Xenopus tropicalis: one gene and its partner. The protein of the gene in region 2 interacts with the protein of the main gene of each other region in a pairwise test. Links are inferred from orthologs where the notes say so. Each region holds a gene or a part of one and is shown on either strand. Other genes may lie near its edges.

What was found. The genes of interacting proteins can lie anywhere in the genome.
Region 1: the proteins of E3 ubiquitin-protein ligase TRIM39 (region 2) and ubxn6 interact in binary tests that used the Homo sapiens proteins (3 or more experiments, as listed by UniProt). The link is inferred for Xenopus tropicalis from reciprocal best matches to the Homo sapiens genes TRIM39 and UBXN6.

Annotation. Positions count from the first base shown.
Region 1 is NC_030677.2:93,773,719-93,777,375, reverse strand, and holds part of ubxn6 (UBX domain-containing protein 6), read right to left. Parts: intron 1,146-3,657; coding exon 997-1,145; intron 1-996. UniProt on the Homo sapiens protein: May negatively regulate the ATPase activity of VCP, an ATP-driven segregase that associates with different cofactors to control a wide variety of cellular processes.
Region 2 is NC_030678.2:143,275,996-143,279,652, forward strand, and holds part of E3 ubiquitin-protein ligase TRIM39, read left to right. Parts: intron 1-1,973; coding exon 1,974-2,395; intron 2,396-2,910; coding exon 2,911-3,006; intron 3,007-3,657.

The DNA of each region.
Region 1 (3,657 bases), on a different chromosome or scaffold from region 2:
AATTTACCACATTTATCTCACACAATTACAGAGCCCTGACAGCGTATTATGTGCCGTAACACCCCCTAACTATAGAGAGACCCATAGAAAACCATATACTGTATATACTCGAGTATAAGCCTAGTTTTTCAGCACCCAAAATGTGCTGAAAAAAAGTCACCCTCGGCTTATACTCGGGTGCCATGGGTCCCTCTAGACTAGCACCCTCTCTCCTTTGTGTGCAAATTAGGCCACCCGCAACCAGACCCTCCAGTGTCCTGGCCTAGGCTCCCACTAGCAATACTTATTTCCCCTTACATCTCCTCTGGGACCGGGTCTGCTGCCAGTTTGCCAATGTGCAATGAGCGTGGGGTAGTACTCATATTGTTTTTGTTGACCCTCTTCTCCGCTTACAGAGCTAGTTTACTGTTTTTCTTTGAAATAAATATTGAAAAACATATACCCCACTGATGCCTCAATTAATGTAATTTTATTGGTATTTATTTTGATTATTAAAACTTAGCAGTAGCTGCTGCATTTCCCACCCTAGGCTTATACTCGAGTCAATAAGTTTTTCCAGTTTTCTTAGGTAAAATTAGGTACCTCGGCTTATATTCGGATCGGCTTATACTCGAGTATATACGGTATTTTTTGAAATTACACATTCTGATGAGTTCAAAATAGGTAGTTATTTTTCTACACCAAAGTTACACATGGCAAAGCTATGCTAAAAACAGATCAGGAACACTAATACAGGGATAAAAAAAAATGCAATAAAACCACAAAAATTGTGCAAATTAGTGAAACAACAAAATAAGTCACAACAGCGTAATTAGTGGTCAGAATATCTGATCCAATAGTCACGCTGTCAAAATAAACAGTAGGGAAAAGAAAAAAAAAAAAAAAGTAAAATGAAAAAAAATAAAAAGGCAAAGGTGCAGTTTTATAAGCCTTAGTTTCACCACCTCCCCCTAGAATTATAGCCAATAATTTTCCCTTTAACCTCTTCCTTCTCACCTGTTGTTGTATCCTTGGACTGCACCTTGGTCCGCCCCTGCAACGATTCCATTCTCGCCATTGCAGCAGAAGCCGCTGCTATCTGTGCCTCCCCTGTGGGAGGTTTACGTGGTTTAACTTGTTCTTTTGTAACTTTAGCCACATTTTCCCTGCAGGAAGAATTTTTTGAAAAATGTATTATCCATATTCTTTGTGCACGCTAGGCAAAGGTAGCACAATTGTCCCCCTTATTTCCTACCTGTTTATGGCATGTTATAAAGCTCATTATCTAAATATAACTTCAAAGCTTTCCTTCCCCACAAAAAATGTTTTACAGAGTCATTTAAAACAATCTTTTTTTTGTCTGCATGTCTTATAAACATCTACAAGTCTTATAAACATCTACAAGTATAAATGGATCAAGCAGCAGAACTAATTTTTCATAATCTGTCTATTTAAAATGGTAGTTTTACTTTGTATCAACTTTTGAGATGTTATAGAATGTCTGATTCTTAGTAACTTTTCAATTGTTCTCAATTTTTTTTTCTTTTTAAACTGGTTAACTTTTAGTATGATATTGCGAGTGCTATTTTGAGACAGTTTGCTATTGCTTTTCATTTTTTATTTGCAGTTTTTGAATTATTTAGCTTTTTGTTTAATAGCTCTCCAGGCAGTGGTTTAAAAGAGAGACAGAAATACAAATAGAGGAGGACCTAAATAGAAAGATAAGTGTTAGAAAGTAACAATAACAATTAAATTGTAGCCTCACAGACCAATAGTTTTAGAAGAGTAAGGCAAGTAATGTAATAAATTGAAAATTGAAAAGTTGGTAAGAATATGGCATTCTGTAGCATACTTAAAGTTGACCTGAAGGTGAATTACACCTTTATTTGTCTTTTTCTGCCTCTTTCCTGCATTCATATTTAACATGGGTCACTATTTCATCTTTATTATTATTTCTCTATTCATGCCCTCTCCGGTGGCTAGTTGTGACAAATATGTAATATTAAAGGAGGGTAAAAATCACTGGAGGGTGCCAAATGTTAGGCACCCCCCAGTGACTTTAATCGCTTTCCTTTTACCCCAGGCTGGTGCTCCTGTTAGGAGAAAACCACACCAGCCCGGGGTACCTGCAGTGTGTGTTTCCTCTTCCTTTTCACTCTACTGCGCATATGCAAGCGTGGAAAGGCAGGAAAGTAAGAGGGGACACTAGCTCACAGCTTCCCCAGGCTGGTGCAGTTTTCTTCTCACAGGAGCACCAGCCCAGAGTAAAAGGTAAGCGATTAAAGTCACTGGGAGGTGCCTAACATTTTGGCACCACCAAGTGACTTAGCCTTTCTTTCTCCTTTAAGTATATATGTACTGTATATAAGTTTTTTAAATTGACTGACATCTTGGCTGGATGACCAGCAAAAAACACACAACACAAAAGATTCCTATAAATCATGTATTGTGAAAAAAATGTCATGTGAAGATAGACATGACATCAACAGCCTGGACAATCCACTTCAAACATGAAAACAATACTACAAAACATCACAAACATTGTTCAAAAAAAGAATCACAGTATATCAACAATATAATACCATATATTCCATTCATCCATATTTTGGATCTACCTCACTTAATTTAAGTTACAAAACACATAGGAAGTGTTTACTTTCAGATAAATTAATATATTGTAAGTGAGGAACATACTGTAAGTATTTGAACACTCTGCGATTTTGCAAGTTCTCCCACTTAGAAATCATGGAGGGGTTTGAAATTCACATTGTAGGTGCATTCCCACTGTGAGAGACAGCATTTAAAAAAAAATTCAGGAAATCACATTGTATGATTTTTAAAGGAGAAGGAAAGGCTAAGTCACTTGGGGGTGCCAAAATGTTAGGCACCCCCAAGTGACTTAAATTGCCTACCTTTTACCCCGGGCTGGTGCCCCTGTTCTGAGAGAATAGCATCAACCCGGGGTAGCTGCGAGCGCTTCTTGCTTCACTCGTGCGCATGCGCAGTAAAGTGAAAAAGCTATAAAGTCGGCTTTTCACTCTACTGCACATGTGATTGTCCTGGGAATTTGCGCGCATGCGCAGTAAAGTGAAAAAGCTATAAAGTCGGCTTTGCACTCTACTGCACATGTGATTGTCCTGGGAATTTGCCGGCAGCGCGAATACGGAAGGAGGAAGCACTCGCTACAGGTACCCCGGGCTGGTAAAATTTTCTCCTAACAGGGGCACCAGCCCGGGGTACAAGGTAAGCGATTAAAGTCACTTGGGGGTGCCTAACATTTTGGCACCCCCAAGTGACTTAGCCTTTCCTTGTCCTTTAAAGAATGTATTTGTATTGCACTTCTGCACATAAGTATTTGAACACCTGAGAAAATCAGTGTTAATATTTGGTACAGAAGCCTTTGTTTGCAATTACAAAGGTCAAACGTTTCCTGTAGTTCTTGACCAGGCTTGCACACACTGCAACAGGGACTTTGGCCCACTCCTCCACACAGATCTCCTCTAGATCTGTCAGGTTTCGGGCCTGTCGCTGAGCAACACAGAGTTTGAGCTCCCTCCAAAGATTTTCTATTGGATTTAGGTCTGGAGATTGGCTAGGCCACTCCAGAAACTTGATATGCCTCTTACGGAGCCACACCTTGGTTACCCTGGCTGTGTGCTTTGGGTCATTGTCATGTTG
Region 2 (3,657 bases):
GGCTCTGTGCCTAGCATGTACTGTATGTGTGCTATGGCTTGTTTGTGTGCACTGCAGGCGGCCCTTAATTTTTAAGGCAATTTTAATGCCAATTTTTTATTTAGGATTACCCGATAGCACATACTACAATCCATTTCATTTCAAGCAACTTTCCAATATATATTTAATTACAAGTTCCAGTGCTTTATTACATGTGCATGTAAATTTCTGTTCTTTGTACAAGTCCCATTGACTTCTATAGAAACTGGCAAGCTTTTAAATGGTGAATTTGTACATTCAAGTTTTTGGGTTTTTAAATAGCAGACATTCCTGAAACAGAATTCCAATGTAAGTTTTTTTTTTAGTGCAAAAAAAACTTGAATCGCGAGAAAAATCAAACTCACACTTTAATAAATCTCCCCCTTACATTTGCAAAGCATTTTTCACACACAAGGTAGCAATGACAAGAAAATATTATACCCCATTTTTAAAATTGAGGTATGCCTGCCACTTGCTATACAATGCAACTGGGGGACCAAGGCATCACATATTGCTTGGACATCTGTATCTAATATTGCTGCGACCACTGTGCTGTGTGATGGATTACTGGGCCAATTCTAAGGTTAATGCCACATGGGGTGGATTTCAGCACCAAAATGCATACTCATGATAGGGCTGATGTGAGTGAAGGGGCTTATTCTCAGCGTGCATTGATACACAGACCGAGAATCAGCCCTGTGTGGCATTAGCCTTACAGAACTATTATATGTTGGGTGGTGCTGATGCTTTGTTTCTGGGAGTATTTAAATTTACTTTGCAAGCCGGAAAAGCAGGCATGAAACTTAATGCTGAAAGTCATGCGTGGATTCAACAGTGGTGCTCTGTTCTGGCCTCGGATTGCCCTTTAAAATGGGATGTGTTTAATACTGCCCGGCATGATACAAAAGTTTGATGCCCATATTAATAGGTGGAAAAATAACAGGTATAGAAAGGCTGGTATTATTCTCTAGAAATGGTGGCAATAAAAGTTGGGTGTAACTTTAAAAAGCATGGCATGGTCACAATTAGCTGCATTCTCCTGGGCATCCATGTCCTGAGATACAGCCAAGGAGCTAGTTTCACTTAATACGCCCCTGCTGCCAGGACGCCTTTGTGGTTGTGATGTCATAGTTTCAAAAATATCTAGGGTAGCAACTGCATTTTTGCCCCAAATCTCACTCTGCCAGTTTGGCTGGGATTCTGACTAGTGTTTGAGCTATGCCGTACATATTGTAAACTGACTTAGTATCTGTGTAGTTTTGATTTGTAATGGTTTGTACTCCCTCTCACTCAATTTTTAGCAGCATTTAAGGTCGTAACTAATGAGCTTTCTATTGTGACATTTATATTCTATATACAAAGTATATTATGTGTTGGTCCCTAAGCTCAGTAAGTGACAGCGGCACAGAGCATGTGCAGGGAATCAGCAGAAAAGAAGATGGGGGGGCTACTGGGGCATCTTCGGAGGCACAGATCTTCCCTGCTAAAGGGCTGGGGTTGCCTTGGGCTGGTACAGAAGCCCAAAACATAATGTACAACATTTATACCCTACTTTTTAGTTAAGCTTTTGTTCTCCCTTTCCCTGATGGAATGGAGTATTTACAATTGTTTGTAGGGGTAGGCAAGACAAGCCACGTTACTAGAAAGCTTGATGTCTCTTTACCTAAAGAGAGCACAATTCTATCATATTTGACTGCAAATATTTCCTTATAATGGGCAATACAACTTTAGGAGGTTAAATTGTAGGCTTATTAGACATCACAATGTTTTGGCACTTCCTTTCTCAGCTTGTGGCAGCCAGCAAGGGATATTTCTTGGTGTGGGTTTAGCACTACATATCTGCAGAACAAGCCCTCAACAAGTGCACTGGTGGTGACATGAAGGACCTGTGTAATACAAAAGATGTGCAACTGCATTTGACTGACCTTGTGTATTTGTCTTTCTTTTTCTTACAGCAATGGCTACAGCAAAGAGAAATCCAGTAACTGAGCTAAAGGAAGAACTGACGTGCCCTATTTGCCTGGATCACTTTAGTGAACCTGTTTCTATTGAATGTGGGCACAGTTTTTGCCGAGCCTGCATTACCCGTACCTGGAGAGGAATTCACAGCAACTTTGAATGTCCCCAGTGCAGAAACATATCCAGATGGAAATTTTTACGGCCTAATCGTCTTGTGGAGAATATGGTGGAAATAACTGGACGACTTGCTGCTACCAAAATGTCTCCAGTTAGTAAGAAGCAATGTGAAAAGCACCAGGAACCAATGAAACTCTTTTGTCAAGTGGATGCAAAGGAAATTTGTTTGGTGTGCCGAGAGTCAGTGGAACATAGGACCCATACTGTGATACCAGTGGAGGAGTCAACTAGAGAGTTTAAGGTGACAAAACAATAACAATTTGTGTTTTAGAGCCCAACGTTTGCTGCAAAGATTGTGGTACAGATATTACTGTTTGTGATAGGTCAGTTTTTCATAATCATTGGAATAACTAGATGTTCTTACCATAGCAGTCTGGCTGTAATTTAATCTGATTTAAGCCTGAATTGGAGCCTGATCAGAAAGATCAGTAAGATTAACAATAATAATGCTAAAAATATGCCCTTTAGAATGAATCTTTCTGGTTGCCAGGCTTCACCGATCCCAGCTAACAAATAGTGTTATATACAAAGTTTTCTACAGCAGATAAAAGCAAAACTGGTGTGTGTATTCTCGTCTGCCACAGTTATAATGTATGGCTCGCTAAATATATATACTTACTCTTCTGCTACTCAGATGATCACACTGATTGAGTTCATTTTGGACAATATTTAATACTAGTAAATGAAGCCTCTGATTGCTTCTTGTGCCCAGTGCCTTGATATAACACTAACTGAAGGAAATATGATTGTATTTAGGTTCAGCTCAGAGATCGCCTTCACACATTAAGAAGAGAATGTGCAGCTATCTTGGAAACAAAGTCTGAAGACAAGCAAAAAGTTGAAAAACTTAAGGTAGCTTTGTGAGACACTTGAATATATTCCTTGGAAAAAGTTCATTCATATGGTTGGGAATACCCCTGAACTGTCTAATGCAGTGATCCCCAACCAGGGGTTTTTGAGCAACATCTTGCTCACCACCCCCTCTGATGTTGGTCCCAGAGGCCTCAAAGTAGGTGCCCGTTTTTAAATTTCTGGCTTGGATGCAAGTTTTGGAAGCACAGAGACACAAGGTTACTCCTGTTTAGCCTTCTGCAGTCCACAGTTAGGTCCATAAATATTTGGACAGAGACAACTTTTTTCTAATTTTGGTTCTGTACATTACCACAATGAATTGTAAATGAAACAACTCAGATACAGTTGAAGTGCAGACTTTCATCTTTAATTCGGTGGGGTAAACAGTGGGGATTTTAACACGATCCCTTAATTTCAAGGGCTCAAAATTAATTGGACAATTGACCCAAAGGCTATTTCATGGGCAGGTGTTGGCAAGTCCGTTGTTATGTCATTATCAATTAAGCAGATAAAAGGCCTGGAGTTGATTTGAGGTGTGGTGCTTGCATGTGGAAGGAGCTCTGCATGCAGGTGAAAGAAGCCATCCTTAAGCTGTGAAAACAGAAAAAACCCACCAGAGAAATTGCTACAATATTAGGAGTGGCAAAATAT